Linked DNA regions of Rhinolophus ferrumequinum. The protein of the gene in region 4 purifies or fractionates together with the protein of the main gene of each other region. This does not show direct contact. Links are inferred from orthologs where the notes say so. Each region holds a gene or a part of one and is shown on either strand. Other genes may lie near its edges.

Evidence for each region.
Region 1: the proteins of POLR2J (region 4) and RPAP2 purify together in Homo sapiens (affinity purification with mass spectrometry; 5 studies listed by BioGRID and IntAct, with this or other methods). This does not show direct contact. The link is inferred for Rhinolophus ferrumequinum from reciprocal best matches to the Homo sapiens genes POLR2J and RPAP2.
Region 2: the proteins of POLR2J (region 4) and GTF2B purify together in Homo sapiens (affinity purification with mass spectrometry; 3 studies listed by BioGRID and IntAct, with this or other methods). This does not show direct contact. The link is inferred for Rhinolophus ferrumequinum from reciprocal best matches to the Homo sapiens genes POLR2J and GTF2B.
Region 3: the proteins of POLR2J (region 4) and CTDP1 purify together in Homo sapiens (affinity purification with mass spectrometry; 4 studies listed by BioGRID and IntAct, with this or other methods). This does not show direct contact. The link is inferred for Rhinolophus ferrumequinum from reciprocal best matches to the Homo sapiens genes POLR2J and CTDP1.

Annotation. Positions count from the first base shown.
Region 1 is NC_046292.1:69,719,424-69,726,834, reverse strand, and holds the start of RPAP2 (putative RNA polymerase II subunit B1 CTD phosphatase RPAP2), read right to left. Parts: upstream 3,009-7,411; 5' UTR 2,956-3,008; coding exon 2,883-2,955; intron 2,168-2,882; coding exon 2,122-2,167; intron 1-2,121. Other genes in the region: GLMN (glomulin), read left to right, coding at 4,006-4,044, 4,471-4,596.
Region 2 is NC_046292.1:67,093,060-67,100,572, forward strand, and holds the start of GTF2B (transcription initiation factor IIB), read right to left. Parts: upstream 3,019-7,513; 5' UTR 2,905-3,018; coding exon 2,888-2,904; intron 1-2,887. UniProt on the Homo sapiens protein: General transcription factor that plays a role in transcription initiation by RNA polymerase II (Pol II). Involved in the pre-initiation complex (PIC) formation and Pol II recruitment at promoter DNA.
Region 3 is NC_046302.1:60,190,580-60,197,979, reverse strand, and holds the start of CTDP1 (RNA polymerase II subunit A C-terminal domain phosphatase), read right to left. Parts: upstream 2,863-7,400; coding exon 2,558-2,862; intron 1-2,557. UniProt on the Homo sapiens protein: Processively dephosphorylates 'Ser-2' and 'Ser-5' of the heptad repeats YSPTSPS in the C-terminal domain of the largest RNA polymerase II subunit. This promotes the activity of RNA polymerase II.
Region 4 is NC_046290.1:92,243,688-92,251,283, forward strand, and holds the start of POLR2J (DNA-directed RNA polymerase II subunit RPB11-a), read right to left. Parts: upstream 3,015-7,596; 5' UTR 2,918-3,014; coding exon 2,865-2,917; intron 1,691-2,864; coding exon 1,601-1,690; intron 536-1,600; coding exon 361-535; intron 1-360. Other genes in the region: RASA4B (ras GTPase-activating protein 4B), read right to left, coding at 7,359-7,480. UniProt on the Homo sapiens protein: Core component of RNA polymerase II (Pol II), a DNA-dependent RNA polymerase which synthesizes mRNA precursors and many functional non-coding RNAs using the four ribonucleoside triphosphates as substrates.

The DNA.
Region 1 (7,411 bases), on a different chromosome or scaffold from region 4:
CACTGCAATTTTCTTCATAGCATTATCCCCATAAACTTCGACTAACATGTCCCTGATTTCACTTCCACTCTTTCCAAATTTAACGAGAAATTTAATGTTTGTTCATTGCTCTAATTCAAGCACAGACATTCGCGAGATGGCACACAAAAACATGCAACAACAATAATGAATGCCACTTAGCAAGACACCGCCACACGTCGACATGAACACAGCTGTGAGACACTGATATACTAAAGTTATGAAACCTTACTGAGCTCTTTGTACAATGCTGCCAATGTAAGTGCATAGTGGCAAGTTCGCGAACTTAACTGGCAGACCTGGTACTTTTAAAATTCGAGCTTTTGCTTATGTACATTATATTTACCACAGTAGGATTAAAAGTGAGAAAATTTTAAACCATTTATTTATTAATTCATTTAATAATAATATACAATTTACATGTTAACATTTTGAAATAAAAATTTAGTGTCGGGGCGGCTAGATGGCTCAGTTGGTTAGAGTGCGAGCTCTGAACAGGGTTGCTGATTCGATTCCCACATGGGCCAATGAGCTGCACCCTCCACAACTAGATTGAAGGACAACGACTTGGAGCTGATGGGCCCTGGAGAAACACACTGTTCCCCAATATTCCCCAATAAAAAATTAAAATAAAATATTTAGTGTGAATAGTGGAATTATTTTATATTTTTGCAAAGTTCTTTAATTTCTGGCTTAAAACTATTCATTTGGATTGAATATAGAAGTATTTTGCAATTGGAATAAATTTATAAAGGATCGTTTCCCTCAACAACTATTTGGTTACCCCATGGATTTTTAATTGTTTCATCATCTTGAATGATCTGCTCAAAATAAAATATAATCTCTTCAGGTTTGTGGTCAGATCAGTGTTGAAGAAAGTTGCAAATTACCATCATTATCAATATTAACTAAACTCACTCTATTGTGGTGGTCTGAAACTGAACACGTACTACCTCCCAGGTATGCCTGTACTTTCCAAAACAGATCTCCAATTCATCCAATTTCTCCATTCCCAGATGATCACCTCCCCTAACACCTTAAAACTTTTTAAACTTAAATTCCATTACTTTATTACTTAAAGTTTTTCCATTTGCACTTAGAAAATCTAAATTTCTCACCATTGCCTATTAGGTCTATATGAATGGAATCCTGCCTCTCTAACCTTTTCCTATGCTCCTTACTTCCCTTGCTCAGAATGCTGGCACATCATCCTGGGCATCTCTGCTTTCTTTAAATGACCGTGCCTTTCTTGTCACACGTACTCCCACTTCTGACTATAGGTCTCTCCTTACTACTCTTTGATTAATGTCTACTTAGCCTTCAGGACTCAGCTTATTCTGTTCTCAAAAGTCCTTCCCTAAAAACCCACAAAACTCCAGCTAACCTGGACTCCTGTTACTCCTCCTCCTTTACAGCACTTATTACAATTTGTAATTATATATCTATTTTTGATAATTTAATTGGTATTTCTCTGTTCAACTAGTTAACTATGTCTATTCTGTTCAAAACCATATCCTTGGGGCCTAATACAAGTCTGGTATATCTTACACTCAGTAAATATTTTTGAAAGATTAATTGAATTAAGACAAAGCCAACACTTCATAAAATGATGTATCACAGGTATGTATTTTTTAATCATCTCAGACTACTCCTACTCTAGAAACATTTTGTGACAGAAGATAAATCTTGTCTTTTTAGAAGCCAAGAGACAATACAGGACAACTTCTTGTTGAAAATTTGGACATGATACAAACATGGGACAGACAAGGCTTCTTGGAGTCTCTAACACATAAAGCAAAAAAAGGAGTATACAAAGAGGTGGAAAAAGAGTACTTGGTTAATTCAGGAACGTCTATTCCCATGTACACCTTTCTACAGATACTCATACACCTTCACCAGCAACCTAAAAATGTCTGATTTGGTTTTCTTAAAGCATGGAGTAGGGGGATATAACTGTCTATGTGAGAATTTATAGTGCTTTCAGATCTTCCCCTTCTCATAATAAATTTCTCTAAGGTAGCACCCATTATTGTTTTTAAAAATGGTTCAATTAATATGAGATAAACAGCTAAGTGAATGCAGTTGTCCAAGTAGTTTTCATACCTTTTAGAAGCATCTTGCTGTTTCAAAGCACCTGTCTGTTTAGTACCTAAAATTAAAAAACAAAGTTAGTCAAGTCTGCACACATTAGGTTATAGAACAGATTCCTGCCCAAATAAACTGTATATCATCTTTTCTTCTTTTCCACATATTTAAAATGAAATGGGAAGGGAATCCAATTTGTTTTTGTAAATTAATTATTCCCAAATTTTTCCTGGTTAACATGTATCTCCTTCGGGATTGAATTTTCTCCTGTATCATAGATGCATACTTAAGCACTCGTGAAAAATCTGAAATCTGGGTACTTTTAGGGGAAGCCTCTCTCCGGCCCTCAAATGTTCACTCCCTGGCAAGAAGGGAGGTGATTCTCCAATACCTCAGAGAACAGGGGCACCAAAGCCGCAGGACAAATGGAAGGACCGATGGGAGGTTCACCGGCAGCCGCACACCGCTGGCTGATGCCGCCCTGCTCACTTGCCCATTCTGGCGACTCCAGCTCTAGGCTTCCAGGAACTCTACTGTCCTTTCCCTCAGAGGCCATCTGGGGGAAAATCTTGGAACGCTAGTGTAAAGATTTGGGGGTTCGGCCGAAGGTCTTTCCCAGGGGGCGCGAGGACGGCGGTGGGAAGCTCTTGGCCTTCTCCGTCCCCGAAGACCTCCACCCCCGAGAAAGCTTTTCGGGAGCACCCCGCGCGCCTTAATCTAGAACCCTGTAGGGGCTCAGTTCTCGGGGTCAAAACGTGGAAAGAGGCTCTTTTGCCTACCTGCGGCGTTTCGGCGGGGGCGCGGGGCCCCAGCCTTGCGGCCCGCGGAGGGTTGCCAGGCCGACTCAGCCATGGAGAGCGTCGTCCGACTATCGCGTCCGACCCTAGAGTTTCCCCCTGAGGCTCCGCCTCCCCTTGCGCAGCGCGGGGCGGGGCCGACCGGAGTGGGGCGGGGCTCGGAGAGCGGCCTACGCGGCCAGAAGAGGAGGTGGAGGAGGACGCTGAAAGGGGCAAGAGTCCTGGCGGGTAAGTGGACGCAGCGGGAGGTCCCGGACGGCGGGGGCTCGCGGCGGGCCTTGAGCCGCGGAGGATGCGGTGCCGCCGGCCGATTAGGCCCGGCGAAGTGGTGAGGCCCGAGCGCCACGACTAGCAGGAATCAGGAGAAATGGCTTCCCTTGGATGCCGCCCGCACGCGCGCTGGGGTTTTGTCCGCCCTGGAGCGCGCTGCGGTGAGGACCCCCGGACCCGCGCGCCCTTCCTGCGGAGCTGGTGCCGGGCCTTCAAGCTGGGAGAAACGATGGCCAGCGGGAATGGAACGGGGTTCTCCTGAGCGCCGCCGGTTGATCTCACTGACTGGATTGATTATTTTGGGTACTTCATTTCTTAAGGGAAATGTCCTGGTCACACAGGGGCTGGAGGGCATCTGAACTTCCACCCATTCTGGGTGAGTTGTGTTGACTTCAATTTTTGTCAAGTAGGACATTAAAAAATGAGAAATTCCCTGTTGATTAGAATTGATTTTAGGCCCACCTTTTGGAAATGTTTTCAGAAATGAAACACTTTGCCTTTTCAATGCACTTTGTGTAGTCCCTATTTGCCGTCCTTTTGGGAGTGCTCTAGAGGTTTTTATTTTCGGATGTATCTTTCAAAACTACACTAAGCAAAGCTGTGTTTAAGAAAACTTGAAAAGGTGCAATAGTTTTTTTTTAAATAAACTTTTCTTAGGTTAACAGACTACTTTTAGTAGTAGCATTTCAGCATTAAAACTACATTTTCTTTATTGTATTTAAAAATTCATCAGAATGAAATATCACTTATTAATACTTAAATGTAATATTTCTGATAGTTAACTGTGTTTTATGTTAGTACATTTCAGTCTCAAAGCTAGGAAAAATAAGGAGGAATGGCTGTGGAGGAACTTCAATCCGTAATAAAGAGATGTGTAAGTAATTTTTCTTTTTGTAAAGTTAAATATCTTTCAAAATATGAGAAGGGCATAGATTATTTTTAATTATATTTGTAGTCACTCGAATTGTTTATCTTCTTTAATCCTTGCTTTTTTTGACCTATGTATAAATAGTGATAGGGCAGGAAGGCAATTGGGTTATTTCTCCAAATGACATACTTTTCTAAATAACCTTTAAAATTTTTAATCTTAATCCTTATTAAAGGTTTCTTTGATATAGTGGATTTCAGGATCATTCACTAAAGTATTTATTAGGCTAATCCTAATTTTCATACGTATGTTTATGTGTAACTTACCTACAATTTAAACAGATTTCCTTTTTTTCAGAGAGAAAATATATCAAGTCATTATTGAATTTTTATTTGCCTAAACATGTTTGGTTTTTGTTTGTTTGTTTGCCAGCAAATCCTAGAAGAGCGAGACTTCAAAGAAGAAGATTTTGGTCTATTTCAGTTAGCAGGACAAAGATGCATAGATGAAGGGCACATAGACCAGCTATTAGAAATTATTCAGAATGAAAAGAATAAGGTAAGTATAATCTTTGTGCAAACTTTTCAGCCTTTACCTGGAAGAGAATATCCACACGATGCTATTATTCATCCATTCATTATCCATCAAACATTTAAGAATCAACTAACTTAAATTTCCACAGGAGGAAACTAGAAACAAAAAAGGAATTGGGACTATATACTTTAAGGTACTCACAGTCTGGTGGAAGAGACAAACATGTAAACAACTAGCATTAAGGAGGCAGAATGAATAAAATAAGTGCTATAGTTGAAGTATAAGTAAAGTGCTTTAGGAGAGCAGGGATTACATCTGGTTGAACCATCACAAGTAGCATTTGGGTCACGAATTTACCTTGAGAAATATAAGTATCAGGCAGGCTAGGTATTAATTTTTGGTGATTGCACATTCTGTTCCTCCAGCCAGAAGTATATAGAAAACCAAATATTAAGTAAGATAACATTTTGGGTATATAATATTTTGAGTAGATAAAATCAGAACGGGAAAGCTGAATGACTTGGCCAATATGATCCAGCTACGAATGTCTGATAAATCATTCTCTGCGATGGGAAAGGATCTTTTGAGGATCAGAAACAGCTTTTTCTCAGAAACATGTTGGCAACACTGCCAAATTTTGTGTCTTTGGACTCCGCTTCTTGTACAAAGGAGGAGCATCTTCTTTTCCAGGACACACTTTTTCTTCCTTTATGGTGCTATTTATTTCTACAGAAGTTTTCTTTCTTGCTATCACAATCTAGACGTGCTGGTCAGTGATTATATCCAGGATACCTTTATTGTGTTTGGGAAATTACTAAAACTTTTAAATCACACATTGTTGTAAATTCTCTTAGTAGTTTAAAGGGCCAATCCCTTTTTTATTTAAGAAAATATTTTTAGAAAAATTAGGACATTTGTTTAATACATTTGTTTTTGGTGTGTTTATGGTACCTTTGTAGCCCAAAATAAAGTAAATTTAATGTTTTCTTTAATTCCTTGATTTTTTCCAATTGCATTCTCAGAGGATAACCTTTCAAAGTACCTTACTTTTAGCTAGTAATAATAAAATTAATAATAGCTAATATTTATTGAGTATTTACTATGTGTCAGATACTGTCTTAAGTGCTTTACATCTGTTAACTCATGTAGCCTCTCCAGAATCCCATGATGTACTACTGTTAAATTCATTTTGTAGATAAGGAAACAGGCGCTGAAAGATAAGTGACTTGCCCAAAAGTAACAGATTTTATGCGGCATCCAGGATTCAGACCTGTGCAGTTCGGTTTTAGAACTTTTATCCACTCGGCTCTGCCTCCAGTGAGCACGATGTAGCACTTGCATGGAAGGTTTAGAGTAGAATAGAGGGAACTCATTGATTGTGGGGGTGAGAGAGAGTGAGACATCAAAGATGGCTAGGTTTCTAGCCTCTGAGAGGGTAGAAACATCCCAAACAGAAAACGGCTACCTAAGAAGAGAAGTTTCCTAAAGGAGGACAAATAAGTGTACTTTGGAAATGGTGAGTTTAAGATGCAGTATGTAATTGAAAAATAGTGTGGAGCTCAGTAGAGAACTAGGAGATTCAGATGTAGATTTGTGCATGACTATTAGAGATTAGGTGATTGTGGTAGATTTAAGAATAGTGAGGCTTAGTCTTAGTAGCTTGAGAATCATCTTTGTAACATATGGTCAGCTAAATTCAGAGGTTCAGATATTGATAAGACAATGCTTAAAAACTGACTGCAACTTATTTTTTTTTGCCAGTGACACAATCAAGATTGATCAAGATTTACTATTAATCTACTTCATGTAAATGTTTTTTTTAAAGAAAGCCATATGAATAGTTTGTCCTAAGATACTTATAGTGCGGGGTTTCTCAACACTGGCACTATTGATATTATAGCAATCCTCCCCCCCAGGAATGACAATCAAAAATGTCTCCAGACATTGCCAAATATGTCCTGGTAGATATCAAAATTGCCCCCATTGAAAGCCATTGGTATAGTGGGGAAAGCACGGGCTTTGGAGCTAGAGAGACTTATATGCAAATCCTGCTGTGCCACATTTTAGTTGTTGGACATTGGGCATGTCAGTAATCTCTAAACTTCGGCATTCTCATCTGTCAATTGGGGATAATAATCTTACCCTGTAAGGTTGCTAAGATTAAACTAAACAGTATAGCTTATAGATAGTTGATATTTGCCTTCCTCATAACTAACTATTCACTATTTACATAATGACTGGATTCCTTGTAACTGAGATTATGTTTGTAAAATATTTTACCATAATTATTTTTTTCAGCTTAGATATGCAAAATCTTATTCAAATATGGAATTTCTCTTATAGTTAATTACTCTCAGAATCACTTATAGGGTAGAAAGGGAAAGAAGTGCTTAGTTGAAAAAGTAGAGTCTCAGAGGAATTAGTTTTTAAAGCGAGTGTAGGCTTATTTAATAAGTAATGATGGAATATTTAGTATTTGAAAAAAAATTGACCACGTAACATAAGTTCCTGATTAGTAAAGACCTAAATATTATAATCCAAGCCACACACATAAATAGAATAAAATGGAACAGAATATCAAATCTTTGGATGGAGGATAATTTGTTATGTTTAAAAGTAATAGACATCATTTAACTTATATTTATGGAACACCTATTTTATAACAGGTCCTACTCTAGATGCTGGAAATAGGTATAGCAGTGAACAAAAATCACTCTGCATATGGATCTTAAACGTTAAGGAAGATAGATATATGCACAATAAATAAATTATGTAGTATGTTAGAAAGTGATAAATACCATACAGAAAAATAAAGCATGGTTAGGGGGTTGGACTGTGT
Region 2 (7,513 bases), on a different chromosome or scaffold from region 4:
GTATATATTCGAGGTAACCAGAACATGTCTTCGATCTTTTCATTGAAAAAAATGGTTTGCTTTAGATTCAGGCTTATTTCATAAATTCCTATTAGAAAAATATTTTAATAAATTATTATGAAATGTTAAAAAATCATGAAAAATTGCTGAAATAAAGTGAATGTTAGCAGAGTAACAGTAATTACAAATGCATAAACTGGGCAGCCATGTGGCACACAGCATACAAAGAAAAGGACTGATGTATTCTACACTCTTAAATGGTTCATAGAATATCATGTAGTGTGTGTGTAGGTATATAAATGATATGGAAACATCTCAAAGATACGCTAAGTGAAAATAAGTAAGGATTTTAAATATAACTGGAAAAGTATCAATGACAGTTATATACAATAACATAGGTGAATCTCAAAATGCTGATAAAAACCTAGACAGAGGAATACATATGCCATCTATATAAAGTGAGCAAAACGAATCTATGGTGTTGGAAGTCAGGATGTGGTTATCTTTGGGAAGGGTAGTTACTGAGGACACAAAGGTGGCTTCCAGGGTGCTAGTGGTATTTGATTTATTACCTGAGTAGTAGCTCTGTGTACTTTCTCACCTTGTGATTGAGCTGTGCACTTAAAATGTGTGCTAACTTCATTAAAAAAGTAAAAAGGCAGCAAACAGTGTTTACATTAAACATTTTGGAAGGGGAAGAGAGATGAAAACTATATGCATATGTTTGCTCAAGCATAGATTCACTGGGAAAACACCAAGAAACTGGTTTTAATCTCTGCTTTGGGGGAGAATTAGAAGGCTCCGAGCTAGGGAAAGAGGCAGACTGGTTTTCACTTTTCGTTTTGTTTTTATACCATGTGTGTATGTGTTACCTATCCAAAATAAAATGAAACTATGCTAACTTTTAATCAAATTATCCACAAAAGTAATACAAAAGAGGAACCATAGAATGGGGTGGTGGGGGAAGTAAGGGTGAGAAATACTGCGGAAGGGAAGTAAACAACCACCCCTAACATTTAAAAAAATGAGACTACCTAAAGAGCTAGATAATCCCAGCCTCAACTGTATAGCTGTACCTTACTGGGTGCCTACTGTCTAGTGTTATACATGTATTATTAATCCCAACACCAACCTCGCAAGACAGGCACATTATCTCTATTTTAAAGATTATGCTCACAGAATGATTTGCTTCAAGTCACAGAATTAGTAAGTAGTGGAGCTTAAATTTGAATTCAGAATTTGAATTTGTGCTCTTCTCTGTGAAAGCACTAGGCAGCTTCATAGTCTAGTAACTGGACATCTTCCTCAGGAAAAAAATAGCTAACGGTAGAAATACTAACATTTACATTTGTTGTCACTGGTAGAAAAATTCAAGAGCTGGATAACTGCAATAATACACATATTTAAGAGCTGGGTATGTCTAGAAAAAGTTTATTTTCAAACATTTTTCTAACAAACGAAAAAAATAAAGGCAAAGGAAAGTACTTTTGGGTAAAGAATTTTATCAAGTGAATTTACTAAACTATTGCCCCATTTCTTTCAAATACAATTTCCTGTTCTATCACATGTAAAAGCTGTGTCCAAATGTGAGCACATTCACTTTTCAGACCTACTGCTATGAAAGACTTGTTAATTCCTATTTAGGTGTCTTTGGGAAGCTGAAGTTTTCCATTTAACTTACAAGGAAGCCTTACCTGACAGAGTCACGCCCAGATAGAATGACTGAGTGTTCAATCATAGAATCAAAATAAATAAACAAGAGTGTCATTGACTTTAAGAGTTATTTCCAAACAGGCCATTAGCTAAAGCTGCCTCCCCACCCCCTTAAAAAAATACAGTAACATAAAATAGTGAGTCTTGGCAGTTACCAGAAAGAGCCTGGACATACATCTCCAACTCACTGTTTGTGATAATGGCTTTCATTGGAAACTCAATTCCAGATCGTAACAAGTTCAAACAATTATGCCAGAACTGCCGTTCAAAAGCTACAGAACTTAATTTGATACTTTTAATACATTATGAGTTAACTAGAGACCCATCCTATGATAACAGGAAATAGATAAGAGACTCTACACTCACACTCATCTTGGGATAGGCAACATTGGCATGACTCAGTTTACATTCATACAAAAATACTATCTACCTCATAGTGTTAATAAGAGAGATAACTAGGGTCTGCAAGCATTTTTCAGGTCACAGGATCACAGGCTGTCTCTAAGGGCACTGCATACATTTCCTGTAGATGAGTCCACTGCATTTTAAAAATTTGTTAAAGACTGACTTCCCAGCATATGTAAATAATTTTCTGCAGGCCAAGATTTTCTTCGGGGAAATGAAGACATTTGTAAAGAAATCGCTCAGAAGAGAATTTATCAAATCTTCGGAAATGCCGCAACTTCCACTTCAGAGGGCCTCTGGGATGATAATCAATTTCCATCAGGCTTAGCAATACTGACGTCCCCAACTTTCTAGCTGTCAGGTTGATAGGGGCCTGGAACTAACCCTTTCCCGCTCTTTGGAAAGGAGGAATCACGGACCCTCGAGATGATTGAGCCATAAATGGAAAAACAAGCGTAGAAAAAGTAAAAACAAAAACGGTTGAAACATACGCAAAAGACGCGAGGCCAGGGGCTGGGGATATAGGGGCCCCCACAGGGTGATACCAATGCCAGGGTGAGAACGCGACCAAAGACGCCGACGGCTCTGTACCCCCTGCGACACCCCTGACAGCCGTGCCGTCTGGAAGTGTCTTTGTCCAGGTCGGCCAACCAGTCCTGCCGCCTCACCCTGTATCTCCGGGACGTTGTGCCCGACGCGGCAGCCCCGGCGGCCGCCTGGCACTCTCCGCCCGCCCCTCACCTAGCCGGGCTCGGCGGGACATACTAACCGGCTGGTAGACGCCATCTTCACGGCCACTGCGGTTCCAGCGAAAAACAAGAGAGAGAGAACAGGAAGAGACTGTGGCGACCAGACGCTCCGAGCCGAGCTTTATAGGCGAGTCTCCCACGCAGTCGCAATGGGGCGTGGCTACGGATCCGGAGAGGGGCCAAGAAAAGTGAGATCGGGTATGCCACGTGCTTTGCCTTTTATTTTGCTGTTTGGTTTCTGTAGCTTGTTACGTTGCTGGGCGAAATCAGCGAAACTACCCAGGAAAACTTTCAAAGGAACCCTGCAGACGGGCTACCCCTGAGATACCCTCAACTTGACTCAGTTAAAACACAAAGAAAGACAACCCTGGCATGGTGTTGGGGGGAAAAGCCCACATTCCGGAGGGCTAACTACCCTCCCCCCACCCGGAAGTCGGTTACTCCAGTTGGGCTTGCAATTCTTACTTGCTAGGTGGGTAATTCCACTAGGGAATTTGGAATTAAAAGAGAAATTAACTTGGGTTAGCCAGACCGGTATCAATTTAGGCTCTGTCATCAAATAGCAAGCTGTGTCTTCTTAGGCATATCCCTTCTCCCTTCGCTATTGGCGCAAAGAGTAATAGTATCTGCCTTGCATACCCTTTTAGAATTGGCAGAAGATGAAACAAAACCATGAGAGAGCACAGTACACCCGTGAGGCAGGGAGATGTGGAGCCCTATCCTGATTGTTTTTTTTCCCATGGCCTTTGCAAATTTGGCTGATAGCTGAAATATAGAGAATTTACCAAAACGTTTAGATATCCCTAATTAGTCAAATTAACGTCAGAAAAGTAACAGTAATAATAACACTACCACCACTTTTCTGAAAACAAGCCACCCTTAACCCTGTGGAGATAGGAAGAAAAAGGGTGCTCCCGGTTTCTATGGGGATGTGGACTTAGAATATAGTGGCTGCTTTGTTCATTTGGGTATGGGACTTAAAATTCCAAATTCCAGTGGAATTACCCCTTTAGGCAAGTAAGAATTGCAGACCAACTGGAGTAACTGATTTCCGTGTGCGGGGAGAGTAGTTAGCCCGCGGGAATGTGGGCTTTTCTCCCAACACCAAGCCAGGGTTGTCTTTGTGTTTTCACTGAGTCAAGTTGAGGGAGATTATCTCAGGGGTAGCCCGTCTGCAGGGTTCCTTTGACAATTTTCCTGGGTAATTTCATTGATTCGTTCACTAAGGTAGCAAATCACACTGAGCACTGATTGTTTTGTTGAAAGGTGGGAAAGACTTGCTTCCTTAGAAAGGAAAAGGGGTGTAAGAGACAGGAGTTTAGGAAGCGAAATCTAGATGGAGATTTGAGAGCTTTTTTTTTTTTTTTCAGCCCTCCAATCTGTAGTTTAAAAACTTGACTATACTATTGTGTGTGTGGAGGGGGATATTCTCCTTTAATATTGGGGAAAGAGTCAAAAATGCCAATTCATTTAACCTGTGCCAAGTGCAACCAGGAGCGTGGTTGGTGGGGAGCGCTTCTTCCCAATCAGGCAGGAAGTTGTTATAGTAGAGCACCTTGATATGGGAAAAGAAGAGGGAGAGGAGGAGGAGGACAACTGAGTACCTTTTGAGGATCAAGAATAAGGACCTACTAACGAATGGATTCATGGTAGGCGTTCCATAATGTTTGTGCAAGGAAGAAAACACCAGAGAAATTGACACTCCAGAGGAAGGAAGCTGGACAACCGGCTGATTTACTCCTGCCCAACCTGGAGAGTCTCTTACCTGACATAACCTACTAGTTAGGATTTCTATTATATTAAAATAAAAGCCGCTTAGGTAGATTATTCCTTTTTCTTTATTTCTACAGCATTGGCAATTTATATTATAAAACATTTTCATCAACATTATCCCATTTTATCTTTATATCTGATCCTGAGATTAACACAAACACACACACAAACTGGGGTTTTATCACCTAGGAATCAATAACCCAGACTAGCATTTACCAGAACTTCTAGTTTGTTAGTGTCATTATTTTTATTTAATTATCTGGATTAATTGAAATAATTTATTTAAATTAATTATTTAAGTTAACTCATCTATTTGAACTTAAAAATTTATTTTAAGTTTATATAACTAATGTGAAATCACAACTTGTGCTAAAATTCTTTCTTCTAAACTATAAAATGTTCGACATGCCTAATAAATGGTTTCTTTAAAGTTTGTGACCCACCTAGATATATCTTTTTTTTTAATGTTTTGAGGTGTAAGTATATACCACAGAATTCACCTTTTTTTTAAAAAACTTTTATTCATTTTAAGTGTGTTTTTCCAGGACCCATCAGCTCCAAGTCAAGTAGTTGTTTCAATCTACTTGTGGAGGGCGCAGCTCACAGTGGCCCATGTGGGGATCAAACTGGCAACTTTGTTGTTAAGAGTACCACGCTCTAACCAACTGAGCTAACCAGCTGCCCTGAATTCACCTGTTTAAAGTCAATGATTTTCAGTAATTTTACCAAATTGTGCAACCACCCCCACGATCCAGTTTTAACACGTTTCCATCATCCCAATAAGATCACTCATGCCCATGCAGAGTGATTGCCTATTCCATTTCCAGCCCCAGGAACCACTTACCTACTGTCAATCTCTATAGGTTTGCCTTTTCTGGATTTTCCATATAAATGGAATTGTATGATATATTGTGTTTTGTGTCTGGCTTCTTTCAGTTGGCATAATTTTGGAAATTAGACATAAGTTGGCATTAGACTTACCTTGCAGCCTCACTTTTGGAAATAATGATATATAAATGTCTGTTATAAAAGTGTCTGTTGGAACAGATGACAATTTCCATAACCTAAGCAAGGTTGGATAAATATTTGTTCGGTAATATATGACATATTCAGAAAGAATGAAGGATTCAGTGAAATGTATGACCTGGTCTGACTTGGACTCTTTTGGAAATGGGATGAAATGTCTAGAATATTAGACAAGCCTCATATGCCTGATGGCTAAGGAGCCATCTGTACTTCTTCTAAAAATGTGAAGGTATAAATTTTTTTCCAATTTTTTTATATCACGTATGAAGTTCAAACACACTAACCATTAGAGAGAATATAATGAATCCTCATGTGCCTATCATCCTGATTAAACAATGTGAAGATTTTGCCACATTTGTTTCATGTGTCCTTTATTTCTTTTTTCTCCCTTTGGTAAAATATTTTAAAAACAAAACTCCATATGTCACCTTGACTCATACATACTTTAGTGTACATTTCTAAAAAATAAGGACTTTTAAACCTTTTTAATATAGCATATATAGCATTATAAAACTGCATTACCAATGATTTGTTTACACACCAAGTTTTCAGTTGGTGATCATCCTGGGCATGCTTCTCGGTGTTTGGTTTCACTGGGCAGCAGAGAAGTCCCTGTTAAGGTGGCAAGGAGTCAGAAAGTGGACAGGGAGGGCCCACATGGAGCTGCAAGAGCTAGTTGAGTTCTTGAAAGTAGACCTAAGTAAGGTCCATATGCATTGAGCCATCTGTTAGGTACCTCACATTCATTATCTTATCGAAGTCTTGGTTATCATGTCAGGCAAATGTGATTATTCTCCTAAAGGTTTAGAGATGTTAAATAGGTAAACTTCCCAGGCTCATGCAGCAAGTTACAGGTGTAGGTAGGATTCAAAGCCAAGAATGATTAAACTCTCCACTTCTATGCTTGCCTACTCTGTAACCGTTATTGCAAGACTATATTTTTTAGACCCAAATTAACTGTGCCCTGGGAAATACAGATTATATTTGTAGAAGCATTCACGATCCTTTTTATTCTTTAATAACAGCTATAAAGCTTTATTAAATTCAGGTAGAAGTAGTAATAAAAATTAATAACTATGGTAATAATAGCAAACACTTACATAGTGCTTACTATGTGCCCAGTACTATTTTAAGACTGTATATATACGTATTAACCCATTTAATCTTTCTAACAATTCTATGAGTTGGATACTATTATTGTGCCCATTTTATGGATGGAAAAAATTGAGGGTACAGAATGGTTAAGTTACTAGCCTGAAGTGACACAGCTCGTAAATGACAGACCAGGGATTTGAAACAGTGGTAATTCTGTTTCAGAATCCATGAAGTATGCCTCTTAATAGAACTCAGTATACAGAAATTTAGATTTAAAGATTTTACGATCAGGGAATGGATTCAATAAGCAATGTGCCTACAGCATTCATGTGGGCTTCCTATTTGGGGGCAGCTGTACTCTAAATATCCTGGCCAGCTGTCTACTAAGGACACTTGTGTTTGTCAGACCATGTGATACACAAACAGAAATGTGCCTGGCTTATTCCCTTTGCTAAATACACTTACATATGTGATTCTGAATTTATTTTTTCCATTTGTTTATTTATTTGAAACCTTTGATTCCCAGTAATTGCTGGCGTCTCCTCCATTTGAGAATACATACAGGTTTTCACTAGAAAAACCAGCATTTCTTTGAAATGCTAGAAAATAGAATATTGGCTTAAAACATTAATAATCTATAAATAGAAAATATTAACTGTCAGTTATCTGCGTACAGAATCAGGGAGGTGATTGCTAGAAATTAATTCATTTTTTAATTCAATGTTCAGTGAGCAGTAGTTTCCTTTTAAACT
Region 3 (7,400 bases), on a different chromosome or scaffold from region 4:
AGAGAAAAGGTAATCAGAAAAGACATGAGAGCAATGTCCTCTCTGAGTGTGCTGTTTGCTTCATCCCTGCAGATACTGACAGACGGGTTCAGGTACCCAGAGGGTCTCAGTACCTCTTCTGTCAACCCTCCAGAGAGTATCACCGCACCTGAAAGGGAGTGGTGCCCCGAGTCCAAAAATACCTCGCTTTAGCCAAGGAGACCAACCCGGATGTCGAGTCAGTCACCAATAAATGTTAACTTTTCTGCTTGGTCCTTGAAGAAAATCCATAGGCAAATCATGAATGAGCTTTGCAAACAAGTTATTTCCCCCAAAATACACAAGTCCTGCTTGTATACCAAACTGTCCTGCTATGTCTGTCTTCACTAGCTTTCGTGTCTGCTGTAATGGGGAGGTCTGAGGGCCCACAGCAGAAAGGGAAGTGTCGGGGCTGGGCGCCCTGAACTCTGCTAGGGAGCGGTCACTGTTAAACACTAGGCTGGGTGGGCCCCACCTCCCTCTTCCTTGAACATATCAGGGATCTGTGCTGACCGTGAAGTGTCTGAGGATAGGGGCGGACTGGGAAAAGGAACTCAGCGCATACGGCTCTTTGTCTCTAAATGCCATTCTCCATCACAAGGAAACAGCACTTCTTGGCCTAATGGCTGGTTCCAGGGCGGGGACTGCGAGAGCTAGAGCCCGAATACTACTGCGTCAGAAAGCAGGGTGGTGCTCCGACACGGGGCCCTGTCGGAGGAGGCAGCTTGAAGGGGCTCCCACTGACCAACGGTGGGATAATCTGAACATGAAGGCAAATAATAGTAACATAAGTCCTCACTGCGAAACTGTACAGTAGAAAGCCAGCATTCCTAAGTTCCTAGAACTGTCCACTGTGGAGAGTGAGCCCCGCCCACTGTGGCCAGGATGCCTCCTGCTGATGGCAGTGACAACGAACAACTCTGCCAGGGGTGCCGGGCTCTGCGCGGGAGCTGCAATGCTCGCTCACACCTACATTCCAGGAGAAACGCTGTCAGTCACCAAATTCTCAAAGAGCCTGTGATGGGCCCCTGCAGTGGGGCACCCCAAGGCTCAAACACTGAAACACTGAAAGCAGCAGCGACTCACAGCTGGGAACCTGTCATCACACTGGGTATGCAGCAGACTGGGAGACAATGGACTGACTGGTCACTCGGATGTGCTTGGCCAGCTTGATGCGCTCGCAGCACTACATGTGGAGCTTCCCACCGACGAGCTTGTCTGGGCCCCGGGGGCCTTCTCTGTACAACCAGAGGGACAGAGCGGCACAGAGAAGCCTCTCCACTTCTGGGGTTTTCTACACGGTGATGCACCAGCACTGGGCTTCGTCTCCGTCATTCACAGGCTGGTGCGTTTACAGGCTCATTAGCGCCCAAGCGAAGGTCAGGTAACAGGTGACTTCAAAGTAATGATGACAGCATGCCAGTGTGTCACCCAGAGCACAGTGCCCCTCCCTCCTACAGGAAGCCAGGCACACAGCTCCAGTGAGGGTGCAGTTCCCAGGTGGCATCCATCCCACCCACCCGCATCCACGGGGCAGGCGTGGGCGCCTGAGCTGACGGCCAGGGACCTTCCTCCAAGGGATGAGAGGGAGAGTGGACGAGGGTGAGGGTCCCGGGCTGGGATGGAGCACGGTCCTGTCCCATCCTGCCCTGGTCATCAGAGTCCGGGAGGGAGGAGATACTCAACAGGTGGACGGTGAGAGCAGGCCCCACGGAGAGGAGCCGAGACAGGGCAGGCAGCACCACCGGAGGAGCGCCAGGGTGGACAGGGGCCTGAGCACCTGGCACACTCCGGTCGCCGCCGAGGAAGCTGCGCACCGGCCACGACAGCAGGGCGCAGGAATGTCCCCCTGCCCTGGCTCCCTGTTGCCGACAATGAAACAACACACCTGTGCCCACACTTCAAGCCGATCTCAAGAGCACCACCCCGGTAAACTCAGACAGAAAGTATGCGCGGAGACAGGTTCACACACTTCAGAAGAGGAAGCAAAGTCCTTCATGAGAAAACATAAGCACCCACAGCTAGAGCCCGTGGCAGGAGGGGCACTACCACTCTGTCACCGGCTGCACCCCTTCCCGAACTACGCTGCACACACCGCCGGGTTTTACGACCGCGTCTCCCGAGGCTGCCGACACCTAAGGCAGAGGACAGCCCCAACAGCTTGTTTATACTGCGATGACAAGCGCGGAGCGTGCTCTTCTTCCAGTACTCGCCGTCGCACCGAGTTTTCCTAACTTACAAATGCCGAGTGTTGGGGAGAGACAGCGATTACAGAAGAGAAACGAACACAACCATTTCCTACACAAAAATCACAAGCGGTGACTTGTGCAGCCTCAGAAAAGCACGCAGCCGCGCAGCCGCGGGGGGTGGGGGTGTTCCTACCTTCCAAAGTTCTCCCCGAGCGCAGCCCCTTCAGCCGCAGCCCCTGAGACCCTTTCCTACCTAGTGTCCGGGCCGGTCCCCTTTCCTGGCCCAGAGAACCCTCCCGGCGCTCCCTCCCTCCCCTCCCTGTTGCTGCCCTCTCCCCCGACCTACTCACCCGGGAGCCACCACCTGGCCCGGGTGCGCGCACAGCTCCCGCACCACGCCGGCGCGCTCCGACCTCAGCCTGCGCTCGGCGCGCACGCAGCCACCCGAGCCGGCGCGAGCAGGAGCAGGTCCGGAGGGCTGCGCGGAGGCGGCGGCCTCGCACACGGCCAGCACCGAGCCAATGCGCACGGTTGTGCCCGCCGCCACCCTCCATTCGAGCAGACGCAGCGGCCCGGGGCCCGGGCAGCGCACCTCGGCCACGGCCGCCGGCGGGACGCCCTCGGCGGGAACGCGGCCGGCGGGCGGCGCCTCCATCCCGGCCAGCGGGGTCGCTGCGGAGATGCGGCAGACGGGTGCTCAGGCAACGGTGCCCATCGCCGGCGGGCGGGCGACCCCGGCCCAGGCGGAGGCGGTGGCTGCGCTGCGATTCCCACTCCTACACCGGCTTCCACCCGCCGCCCTGGTCCGCGCCGACTTCCGGGACAACGCATGACGTCACGTGACGTCGCGTGCGTGCGTGCGCCGTGCGGCCCGCGTGTAAACAAGCCCGCACTGTCCTCGAGAGGCGCTGCGCCAGCCGCAGGTACCATAGGCGCCATAGTACCAAACCCGTGGGGCTGGGTCCGGCGGGAACAGTGTCCCTACGCCGTTTACCCTATGAGTACAGGTGACCGGTATGCAACGCTTGCTAATGTCCCACAACTCCGTTTATGCGCTGAGGCCCGGGCGTTGTTAAATTATGAGTCCCGCCATGCACCGCGCACTGCCATACCCCGTATCCCCGTCAGGCTCTGCGAGTCCCGGCATACAACGCGGGCCGCCGTCCGACATTCCCCTCGCGCGCTAAGGCGGTCGTCATGAGAACTACGAGTCCCGGCATGCAACTCCGGACGCTGACCGGCAGTCCCATCACGTGTTGAGACCCGGTGTCATTAGTCTGAGTCTTGGTTTGCAAAGCGGGCGTCGTGGAGCTGCGGTCCTGGCATGCCAGTGCCCAGGCAGGGGTCAGAGGGCGATGGACGTCCGGCCCTGCACCTCGCGGCAGGTCATGTGTTTGGCGGTGTTCTCGGACTCGGGCCCTGCCTCTCGCCCTCCGAGCCGCACTCCTGCGGAGGCCGCGCGTGGGGATACCTCGGCGCTCTCGCCGCTTTTGAGTGCGGGATAATTTATGGAAATGGTCGTTCTTGGTTCCTTGAAGGGCATTCTTCACAACCATTAAAGACCTGCAATTCCCCTCTTGCCCCCCGCCCCCGGGAAATGTGGACGGAGCACCTGCCACAGCGACAGAGCCTCAGACGCAGAAAGCAGAAACTGACAGAGTGACAGGGAGGCAGACAAGTGACAGTGGCAGTTGTGCTCTTCAATACCCAACGTCAACGTCGGGTGGAACAACGAGGTGCAAGATCGGAAAGGACAGCGGGCTGGAACAACTGTGAATCCTCAAAGCAGCACATGCTCCTTCTCTTTACCTCCGTGCGGAACTTGCTCCAGGACAGGTTGTGTGCTAGGACATAAAACAATCCTCAGAAAGTGTAAAAGGACTGACACCATACCAAGCTTTTTCTCTGGGCACCATGACATTAAGTGAGAAACCAACATGGGAAATTTACAGTTGGTTGGATGTTAAACAGTAGTCATAAGTAACCAATGTATCGAAGGAAATCAGACCAGCAAAATGTTTATGATTGAAAGTAAACAGAAATATACTACAACTTGTGTGCTACAGCTAATGCAATGCTTAGAAATACGTGGCTAAAATATCTAATATATTAAAGATTAAGAACAAATATTAATAATCTAGCCTTTGTCCGTAAGAAATCAGAAAGCGAAACCCAAAACAAACAGATAAGAAATGATTAAAGCAGAAATAAAACAAATAAACAGTAGAGGAAATCTACAAAGCCAAAAGATTAAAAAGACTCTTTGGTTCTTTGAAAAGATTTTTAAAAAATTGACAAAATTTTAGCTGGATTGATCAGGAATAAAAGAGAGAATTACCAAAATTAGGAATGAAAGAAAATAGCACTACCGACCTCACAAAAAATAAAAAAGATTCTAAGGGAATAATATGAACAACTGTATGCCAACAAGTTAGATAACTTAGGTGAAATGCATAAAAAATTCCTAGAAAAACAAACATACCGAAATTGAAGAAATAGAAAATAGGAGTAGGCCTACAACACGTAAATAGAACTAACCTCACTTATTTTCTCTGAGTGTTAAAAAAATGCCTCATGGACTTCAGAGCTTCCGAAGAGGGTGTTCAACGTCAATACTGTTTTCTGCCCACCTGTGTTACCTGGGGCTTTACCTCTGGTCCTCCCATACAGCCTTCTCCAGAAGCTCCTTTCCAAGCCCAGGTCGTCAGGCCTGGCAGGTGTTAAAGGAAGGCACACTGCCCAGCTAGATGGAGCTATTGCTGATTTTTTCTCTGGTTATCCAAGAAGCAAGTCCACCTCGCTTAAAGGAGCTTCGTTTTCTGGAATTAATACGGTCTAGCCCTTCTGGTGAAAGTATATTTTCTGTTAAAGTGATTTTGACCCTATTCCTTAGAAAACAGCACCACCATTTTCATGTTTTTGCCATGAGGTGGTTGGCGCTTCCCCACCTCTGTATGCTTGAGCCACACGGTGACTGTAATGTCCTATCTTACCTACCTTGCCATGGTGGCATTTCATTTTTTTGTGATGCTTGAATCCTTTTCCTGATAAAAGGAGGGGACCTCAGCCCCTGTCACCACCCCCAGGTCACTCGAGCTGTCACAAAAACATACTTTTTTCAGATTTAGCGGTAGTTGCAAGTTCTCAGCTGCTACCCTCCCGAAACTTACCCTGAACAGTCATGGAAGCCTCAGGAGGCCATTTTGCTGTGCTCCAAAAAGCCTTCTTGCCACCTCTCGAGTGCTGTGCCAAGGAGCGTCTCAGGACTCACTCCTTGGTCTCCCTCCCTCCCTTTTGCACTGGCTCACCAGGCCCAGTGCCCTCACCAGAACTTACACAAAAACATAAGATACAGGTATCAGGATTGTTTGTATTATTAGTATGCCACACCTCGTGCATAGAAGAAGCACAGACAGAGAACACCTCAACCTTTCTCCTTTGGGCACACACGTTGAAGGGCTGATCACCTCAATACAATCAAGAATATTGATTTTGTCAGGGCTGTGCTGGAGTCTTAGGTTTGGCTCAGTCCAGTTTTGGCTTCAAATATCTCGAAAGCAAGACTTCTTGTGTGCAATAGCAGGCCCTCTTGCTGGTGGGAATTTATTCATTCATAGTTATCTCAAACTGTACATTTCACACTGTCTCGAAAGCCTGGCCACAACCCCACCCCTACATGCTTCCCCAGCACTAAGCAAGTGTCCTGGGAGGAAAAGCAGCTGTGTATGTGGGGCTCCTTTGTGTCCAGCCCATCACACAAGCCAACACAGAGGACTTATCTCCCCTTTGGCCAAATCTCTCCATCTGTCAAGCTCGAGCTCAGACTCTGCCCATACTCAGCGAATGGTTGAGAGAAGAAAAGGGCCACTGATGGCAGTTTATCCGGGGACAGGTTTTCTCTCTCAGGGATTTTCTTTCTTTTCATCCTCTTATTCTCCAGAGTGCCTTGATGTCTTCTAAAACACGATATCTGCAATTATTCATTTTCCCGTGTTATTGCAGCAGTGACTACCTGAGGAAGAAGACGGTGAGTGGGGTTTTGACACGAGGTAAAGAGGAAATGGGCATTCCGGCCATGAGGACCATCATGGTTGAGGTTCTGTGCGTTCCCTTAATAAGAGTCCTTTGTGGCAAAACCCCAAGGAACAGTACTGGGATGTTTGAAAAAGGACACATACCACGGTCCCATCCCTCAAAATTCTGACTTAATTAGTTTGGGGTCGGATCTGAGTATCGGGAGTTTTGCTTACCGGGTTATTTGAATGTGTAGCAAGGTAGGCAGTGGGTAGTCATGAAAAGTTTTTGAGCAGATGTATGAGCTTATTTAATCTGTGCTTAAGACAATGCTGGCAGCTAAGGGCTGAGAGAACCTGGAGATAAAGACCCCACTTCTGAGGTTGTCTGATCAGAGGGGAGTGTTTGCAGGGAGAGCTGCTGAGTTACAGCCACCAGGTTTTGTCACTTGTTTGGCAGGTCAGTGAGAAGGAATGAAAAATGGCTCTGGAAGAGGACACATTAACAGCAGAGAAACAGCAGGGAACGGCATATTGGGAAGAGAGCTTGTGAGTGCCCTTGGGGTCCTTACGTCCGAGTTTCCTGAGCCTGTGATAGAATTGATGGAGGAATATTTTTCCTCTGAGTCCCCAAACGATGTTGGATCTGCAGGCAGTTTCTGGGTGTGGGCCAGGATCGTGTCTCGTGAGACCGAAGAATGGAAACACGGACCCAGGAGAAGTAAAGAGATTTTTTTTTTAATTAATTTTTTTTATTGGGGAAGGGGAACAGGACTTTATTGGGGAACAGCGTGTACTTCCAGGACTTTTTTCCAAGTCAAGTTGTCCTTTCAGTCTTAGTTGTGGAGGGCGCAGCTCAGCTCCAGGTCCAGTTGCCGTTTTCTAGTTGCAGGGGGCACAGCCCACCATCCCTTGTGGGAGTCGAACCGGCAACCTTGTGGTTGAGAGGACGCGCTCCAACCAACTGAGCCATCTGGGAGGCAGCTCAGCTCAAGCTGCCTGCCATGTTCAATCTTAGTTGTAGGGGGCGGAGCCCACCATCCCTTGCGGGACTCGAGGAATTAAACTGGCAACCTTGTGGTTGGGAGCCCACTAGCCCACGTGGGAATTGAACCGGCAGCCTTCGGAGTTAGGAGCACGGAGCTCCTACCACCTGAGTCACCGTGCCGGCCCTCTGAGT
Region 4 (7,596 bases):
CTAGGATGAGCTGCCCCCTAGACAGATGCCCTAGAAGCGGCCAGCACCAGCGAAGAGCTTTGGAGGAGCAGCAGCAGGGGGCAGCAGGGACCCCAAGAGTGCACAAGGAGACCTTGGAGCACTAGGTCCGTTCCTGCGCACGGACGCCGACAGCAGGCGCCATGCCTCAACTCCTAACCCCTTCTCCACACTTCCGGGAAGCAGTGGGGGAAGTCCTTGCTGTCATCACCCCTTCCCCCCACACAAGTCCGAGGAAACAACCCTGGGTGGTCCTAGGTGTGGGCACGACAGCCCTGCAGCTCTGGGCACACAGGCTGGCGTTCCCACCTCCCCTCTCCCCCTGCACGTCCAGCTCCTCACCCGGAATCGCTCTTCCAGCAGGGAGAGCTCGCTGATGAGGTCTGTGATGGCATTGGTGAAGGCCTCCTGGGGGCTGTAGTCCGGGGTGGTCTGCACGCGGATGATGATTTTGTGCTCCAGAGGGTGGGGCACTTTGTAGCCAGCAAACAGCACCTGGGGGTCCTTCAGCAGCTGCCTGCGACACGGGTCAGCAGTGAGCAAGGCTGAGCCGAGTGCCCCTGGCGCTCTGGCCCCTTGGAGCTTACCAGGCCTAGCCAAGGGGTCTTCCTGTTGCAGATGTGGCTGGGGGCTGACACTAGGTGGTTCCCTACACTTGGTTTTTAGTTGTCCCCCTGCCCCCCGCCAAAAAAGTCTTCAAGTAAAAGCTAACTTTGGAGAAGATATACCATATGGTGATTCCTCCCACACACACCCCTACATCCATCAGGATCAGGAACCTTAGCTAATAAACAGGTTTTCCAGTAACTTCTTTCCCGAGGGGAAGTCAGGGACCCTGCAATGACCCCAAAAAGACCTCCCTAGGCAGTAAAAATCCAGCCAATGTTCAGTAAACCAAAACACAAAAGGCCCGTTCCTAGCCCCAAAAGAGCCTCTGGCACGGCAAACAAAGGCAGCAGGGGGAGAAGGCCCCAAGCTCTGAGCAGTTAGCAAAATGGAAACCGAAGTCCTTTGGAAGGGGCTGGCAGCTGCCCACACCCGTGGGGTGCTGTTCTGTGAGGTGGTGGTGAGGTGAAGCCTGTGCTGTTTGCTGGACACGCGGGTGTTTTCTGCAGAGCAAGGTGTCAAGTGTGAGCACCTTGCAAGGTAGGGACACAGCTCACAGCAGAGGAGCAGCAAGGCCCCCAAAGACCCTGAGTGCCCCACTGGCTTGGCTCAGGCAGGAGTCATCCAGACAGGTGGGCAACCCCACCCCCTACTTACACCAGGACACCAGGCAGGCTTCTGCCCACACCCTAAACACGCAAACCTGAGAAAGGCACAAAAACAAGCAGGCCTACTTGCGGCTTCCTGCACATTCATTCACTCACTTCAGTCAGATAAATGAGCCAAAAGGAAATGTGGCTATGTGAACAGATTCCAGTACCTTTGAAGAAAAGGTACTGGAAAGTGAACTGCCAGAGCGAGCCATCAGAAGGACTTCTTGTAGCTCAAAGAGACTTAAGAAAATCTTCTGGAACTTGTGCTTTGCCTCAGAGTCCCATCCAACACAGCCCCCAAGAGCCTTGGACTTGGAACTTACGATTTAATAATGTTTCCTAGCGTATGATCTTCTTTGTTGATGGTGAACAAGCAGGCATTGGGTACCTTGGTGTCCTTGTTAATCGTGATCCTAGGAAGACGCAGAGGCAAGAGATGGGGGCAGGGGCTCCCTCCTCCTCCGAGTCTAAAGCCTGCCCTTCCAGGCAGGCTCGGGTCCCACCTCCTGGAAGCCTGTCGCAATCTCTTCATCCCATAAAGGCCTCTCTGACTCAGAGCAGCAGTTAGTGTATACTCTGAGCCCAGTCACGCCGATTCTGTGGGACCCTCACCTCCTCCGGATTGCTCCTTCTTCCTAAAGCACAGTTTCTCCACCTTGGCACCACTGCCATTTTAAGCCAGATAATTCTTTTTGGTAGGGAGCTGTCTGTCCATTGTAGGATTCCTGGCTTCTACCCATTAGATGCCAGGAGCGCACCCTTTATGACAACCAAAAACGTTTGCAGACATAGCCAGAAGTCCTGGGGGGCGGGGAGGGGGGGCAAAATAGTCTCCAGTTGAGAAGCACTGCTCTCAAGGGAGGCTGAAGTGGCTGGCAAGGGCTAAACATAGAGCCCTGCACACCAGGCTGTTGAGAATGAAAAGCCAATGTTTAAGAGGGTCTTCTAGATGCTGAGCCCTGGACTAAGCACTTCACATAAGTTACCTCATTTAATCTCCCCTTAGGTTTACTCATAATTCAATACAGTAATAAGCCCGTTTTCTAGATGATGAAAGTGGGCCTCAGGCAGATTAATTCACTTGCCCAAACAAGGGTCCTTACGCGGGGGAAGCAGGCGCCAAGCCCAGGCTGTCTGACCAGCAGACTACATTTTCCTTCAGCCTGCAAGCAATGAAGGTTTTACACAAGCGAATGGAGATTGCACATGAGTCTAACAGCCATCTCTTTCTGGCTTCAGCAAGGAGAATAAAGGTGGTCAGCTAGGAGCCGAGGAGGGGGCTGCCAATCCCAGGGGAAAAGGATTTCGGAGGCAGCCATTCTGGGTTCCAACACAGACCCGCCACTTCCTGTGCCGGGGAATTACGTAACCTCTCTGAGCCTCAGTTTCCTCAGCTGCAAAGGCAACAGTCCCCACCGCTTGGCAGGACTACCTGAAGTCTGGCAGACACAGGCGCCGGGCGCTTTGCGCGCCGAAGCTCAAGCAACAGCTGCTTCCGCCCGCCCCGCAGGAGAGCAGGCGAAGCCCCAGACTCTGCAGACGCCCACGACCGACAGTCGAAGGCCTGACCCTCCCCTGCCCACTTACTTCTTCTCGCCTTCGAACAGCAAGAACGACTCGAAGGCGGGAGGGGCGTTCATCCTGGCGCCGCCGCGTCCTGCAGACTCTCCACTACCTCCAGGGCGCTTTCCCGCGACTTCTTCCGGGTTAGCCGACGGGGCCGAACACGTGTACGGCCCGGCTCGGCGCCCCCTACTGGACTGGGGGATCTCGCGCAGGCGGGAGAACGCGCGGAGGGCCCGGGCCGGCTGCTGGCTCTGCGCACGCGTGAGCCGCGAAGGTCCCTTGTGGCGTTCGCCCCCCTGGGAGCGCACTGTGGCGCAGGCTCGGAGAGCGGGGAGCTGCTCTGCGCACTGACTTCCTCGTGCAGGCTAAGCGGCAGCCCTGGGCTCCACCTCTCTTCTCCCTATGTCCCTTGATCCCTCTTCGGAAATGTGCCCTTGGAGTGCACAGCAAGAGGTCCCCGAGTGGACAATGGAGCCACGGGGCAGTGGATAGGTGTGTCTGGTGGGGCTGACAGAAACCTCACAGGCTCGTGGGTATCCATCCCTTAAGCCAGACGGCTATGTACGGATAAGCCCCCTGCTAAGGCTGCCTGGGCAGATTGCTACAAGGCCCCTGGCTGTGTTGTCACTGGCTTGCCAAGTAGGCTTGTGTCCTAGTGAGCTTATTAGGGAGACAGTTGGGTGAGGGCTGAGGGAGACGGCAGGTGTATAGAGGTGTGAGAGGCGCTGCGAGGGATAGGTGTACCGTCCGTTTGGGTTGATATCCTGCAGACTACAGCTTAGTATACAGGCCCTACCTGAGCTGTTTGGAGCAACAGGGGCTGGAGTCTCAGCTACTGGAGCCCTAACAGCTTCCCAGCTGTTTCCTAGGTCTGAGCAGCAGCCAAGGAGCCCCCAAGGAAATCTGGAACTTTACTACCATTTCCTGGGAAGGGCCATTTCCTACTTAAGCCTTGAGCCCTGGGGTAAGGAAGCCTCATTCACTGGAGATCTACAGAAACCTTGACTCTCCAGGTCAAGTGGGTGGAGGCCTCTTTAACTGGTGAAGAATAGAAGGCAATGAGGGTAATGATGTCCCAAGGTTGTCACCCCTACCCTCCTGGATCATCCTGGAAATGTTTGGACCAAGGATGCTACCATTGCCACGACTGCAGGGGCCTGGAGGTGCCGAGGCTGGCCGCCCTTAACTGGACAGGGTGGGGAGAGGACTTTTACCCAGCAGAGGCTTCACCCTTCTTTCCACTGTGGAAGTCTGTCCTCTCTTGGGGAGTTCTGGTCGTACTCACCCTTTGATTCCCAGACCAACACGAGATTCTGGGCTTCAGAAGATGTCAGCCCTCCCCGAATCGAGCCTTCAGAGGCTCAATTTTGGTGTGCCCCAAGAGGAGGCCAAGTGACCGTTCCTATCTTCTGGTAAGACAGGCCTGCCTGGCACACTGCGAAAGGGGCTGCTGGACGTGTGATGATAAATATTGGGTGTGTGTGGCATGTTCTGTCAGTGTAACACTGGAGCGTGGCTGAACAGGCCTGACCAAGGCTTACTTATGTATGGCAGAGATCGTCAAACGGTGAGGGCTTGTGAACCAAATCAAGCCTGCCAAGTTTTTGTAAATAAGTTTTGTTGGAGTAAGCCAAGCCCATTTGTTTCCTCATTGTCTATGGCTACTTTTGTGCTCTGAGAGTAATTATGACCAAAACTTGCATGCCTGGGCCTTTAAAATCCCTAATCTTGGGGAATGGACCTGTGTTTGACTTTGATGTTTTATTTATCATCAAACTGAAGTTATTTATGAACTTGTAGGTTTGTATCCCATAGAGAAGAAAACTCCATTTCCCAGTTTTTTAACATCACAATTTATTCTAGTATTATTTTCCCCCCTCTTTTGCCTCCCCCCCCCATTCCAGTTCAAGCCATTGTTTCTCAGTCTAGTTGTGTAGGACACAGCTCCCTGGCCCATGCTGGTGTTATGAGCCTGTGCCCCCCCACCCCCCTACCCCGGCTGAGGCAGTCGGTCGCCAGTCATCGGTCAGCCGCTCACGGCAGCCCAGCTCCAGGAAGAGCTGTTGTTCACAACTTAGCTGTAGAGGGCGCAGCTCACTGGCCCCTGTGGGAATTGCACCGCGACGGGGCCTGCCCTATTGTAGCATTCTTTCCTCAAAATGCTTACAAATACCTAGCTTCTCAAAGTGCTCTACAAACCAGCTTTACCAAACATTCATTTCCTCTTTGATGTGTAAATATCTGATACGTTTATTCTGTATTTGTGTAAGTTATTTCTTTTTACGTACTTGAAAATTACGTTTTGGCAGGAATTACACTTTTCCAAAAGGAAGTTGGTGGGAATTTGCCCAGATTTCCTACAGGACAGGCCCAGAGGATGAAAGATGCACGTACCATGTGAGCTGGACCCACTCAGGGTTTCCCAGGATGCCTGCCCTGCGCTGCCAGCCTGCCTCCTGGGCAGCAGGGCTCTGTGGGAGGGTCCAATCAGACCCTTAAGACATCTGGGGGACTTGACGCAGGCTCTGGGTGAATAACAGACCTGGCAATCCCAGGGTGGGGGGTGTTGGTATAGAATCCCTGGGCAGGTAGGTGTGACCTCTGGCACCTTCCTGTGCCATGGGCAGGCAGGCATCTCCTCTGTCCCTTTTTTCCCAGGTGGCTTCCTAAAACAATGTGGCATCCGGGGCTCGGAGCCTGAGAGGCGACTCTGTGGGTGGAGGTACATGAGCGATGGAGGCAGTCCCAGGCCCTTACTCATTTGAATTCCCCTTCTGGCTGCAGTGGCCACGTCCACACCGGTGTCCACTGGAGGACAGGGTGGTGGGCGTTGCCAGTGGGTGGTGTATGCGCGCTGTTAAAATCCAGAATTCTACTTGTTGCAGTCAACAAGTGCACACCTCTTTCCCCTTCACTCCCTGAACTAGGGCTCAGGAGACAGTGGGGTCTACACTTCCTTTGAGGTCCTTGAAACCCAAGAAGATCCAACAGGCACAAGGATTTGTGTGACTCTAAAGAAGTAGCCAGAGAACCAGGGGCTCATCCAGCGCTGGACCCAAGCCCTGGGTTAAGAAGGCAGGTGTGTGTGTGGGGGGGTACCTAGCCCTGCAAAGAGGCTCGTAAGGTCCATAGGATGGTGGCATCATGACCAAGAGGCAATGAACATATAAAGGGGCGGGGGTTGGTGGGCTGCTTATGGGAGGACACTGTACCCCCATCAAGGCTGTGGCCAGAAAGGATCACCATGGCCCCAAATGCCATAGGGTAGAGGGAAGAGGGCAGCCCCTTGTTCCTTCATGCCCCCTTTGCTTTCTCTGCCATCTCTCAAAGAACCCACTATGCAGCCAGCCCAGATGGCCCTGCCCCAGGACCTGGCCGGTCAGCTGTGTCAGGGGGCCTGCCTGTGACCCAGGCCCTTGGGAACTGTGCTAGGCCTAGTATTCACAGGCAAGGCTTGAAGCTTGGTTGGATGAGATTCAAAGAACGTGCTGGAAGCCCCTGCCCCTCAAGTCTTGTTAATTATGTTGGAGGTTACTGTGTACCTAGATGGAGCGGGATGAGGACAGGGAGGTGACAAGCAGAGGAGCCTTGCTTTTGCTAAGGAGGGTGGCATAAGGGACGCTTTCCAGGGCCAGGCCACGTGATTCCAGGTTCTGAACCCGCCCCCACTGTGCAGTCTTCAGGACACTTGGAAAAAGGGCCTGTCTGGGGGCTGTAAGGAGAGAACAGCTGGTGAACGAAGTCAGGCTCTGTAGCCTGTGGGGGATGGAGGAAGGGGAACCAGGGGCGTGGTGGGGAGAGCAGCTGGAAGGAGAAAGGAGGCCCCCCTGGGAGATGGGGAAGCAAAGGGGAGATGGGGAAGCAAAGAAGAGACGGGGATGCAGAGAGACTATGCTGGTGCCCCCCCCCCACCACCAGCAGGCTTTGGGGTTCCCGGGCCCACTCCCTCCCGACCCCCATCACGAGACCCCAGAGCCGCAGTCACATCAGGTTTATTGTTGGCAATAGAGCACCGTGACGCTCTCCCAGGGCACAGCCACTGTGAGGGAGCAGATAGGGTGGTGCCTGAGAGTAAAGTGGGTGCTGAGGTCCAGGCCTGGTCTCCTGGGGCCTGTGTTCCCTCCCGCCTCTCTGAGTCCCAGGAAGTGTCAGTCCACCTGGTGCGGCCATTCCTAGGGATAGTTTCTGGCTGGGTCTATCCTGAGCAGGAGAGGAGGGTCCTGGAGAGTTTGGACTAGTGGTGGTGATGGCTGCAGGGCCCACAGGGAGCAACCAGGCCTCACAGAGAAGCAGATGCCCGAGTCCCCTAGAGACTCTGCATGGGCAATGACAGGCTCAAGTCCTGTCAGTTCCTGAAGTCTGGACGCTCTGGTCCCTGGCCTCCCAAACTCCCCCAGCTCGGGAAAGACTCGGGTCCTGCACCCCTATGAGAGGAACTGAGGTGAAGGACCAAGAGTGCACCCGAGATCTCCAAGCACCTGGCAGGGGGCTCGGCAAGAGAGTGTGGGACAGACCTCACGTCTGTAGCTCCAGGAGGCAGTTTGGCTCTAAGGGCTCAGAGCTGGCTGGGCTGCGGCTATGGGCCTCCTGGAGATCCTGTAGAACCTGCAGCATCTGGGCCAGTGGGTCCTCGAGGGCTGGAGGCAGACGAAGAGTGAGGGTCAGGCAGGCACGGCCTCGCCTGCCAGTGCCTGTCTCCAAGACCAAAGGGCCCCTGGGAGTGGCCCTCAGGAGCCCCACACACAGCATCCCT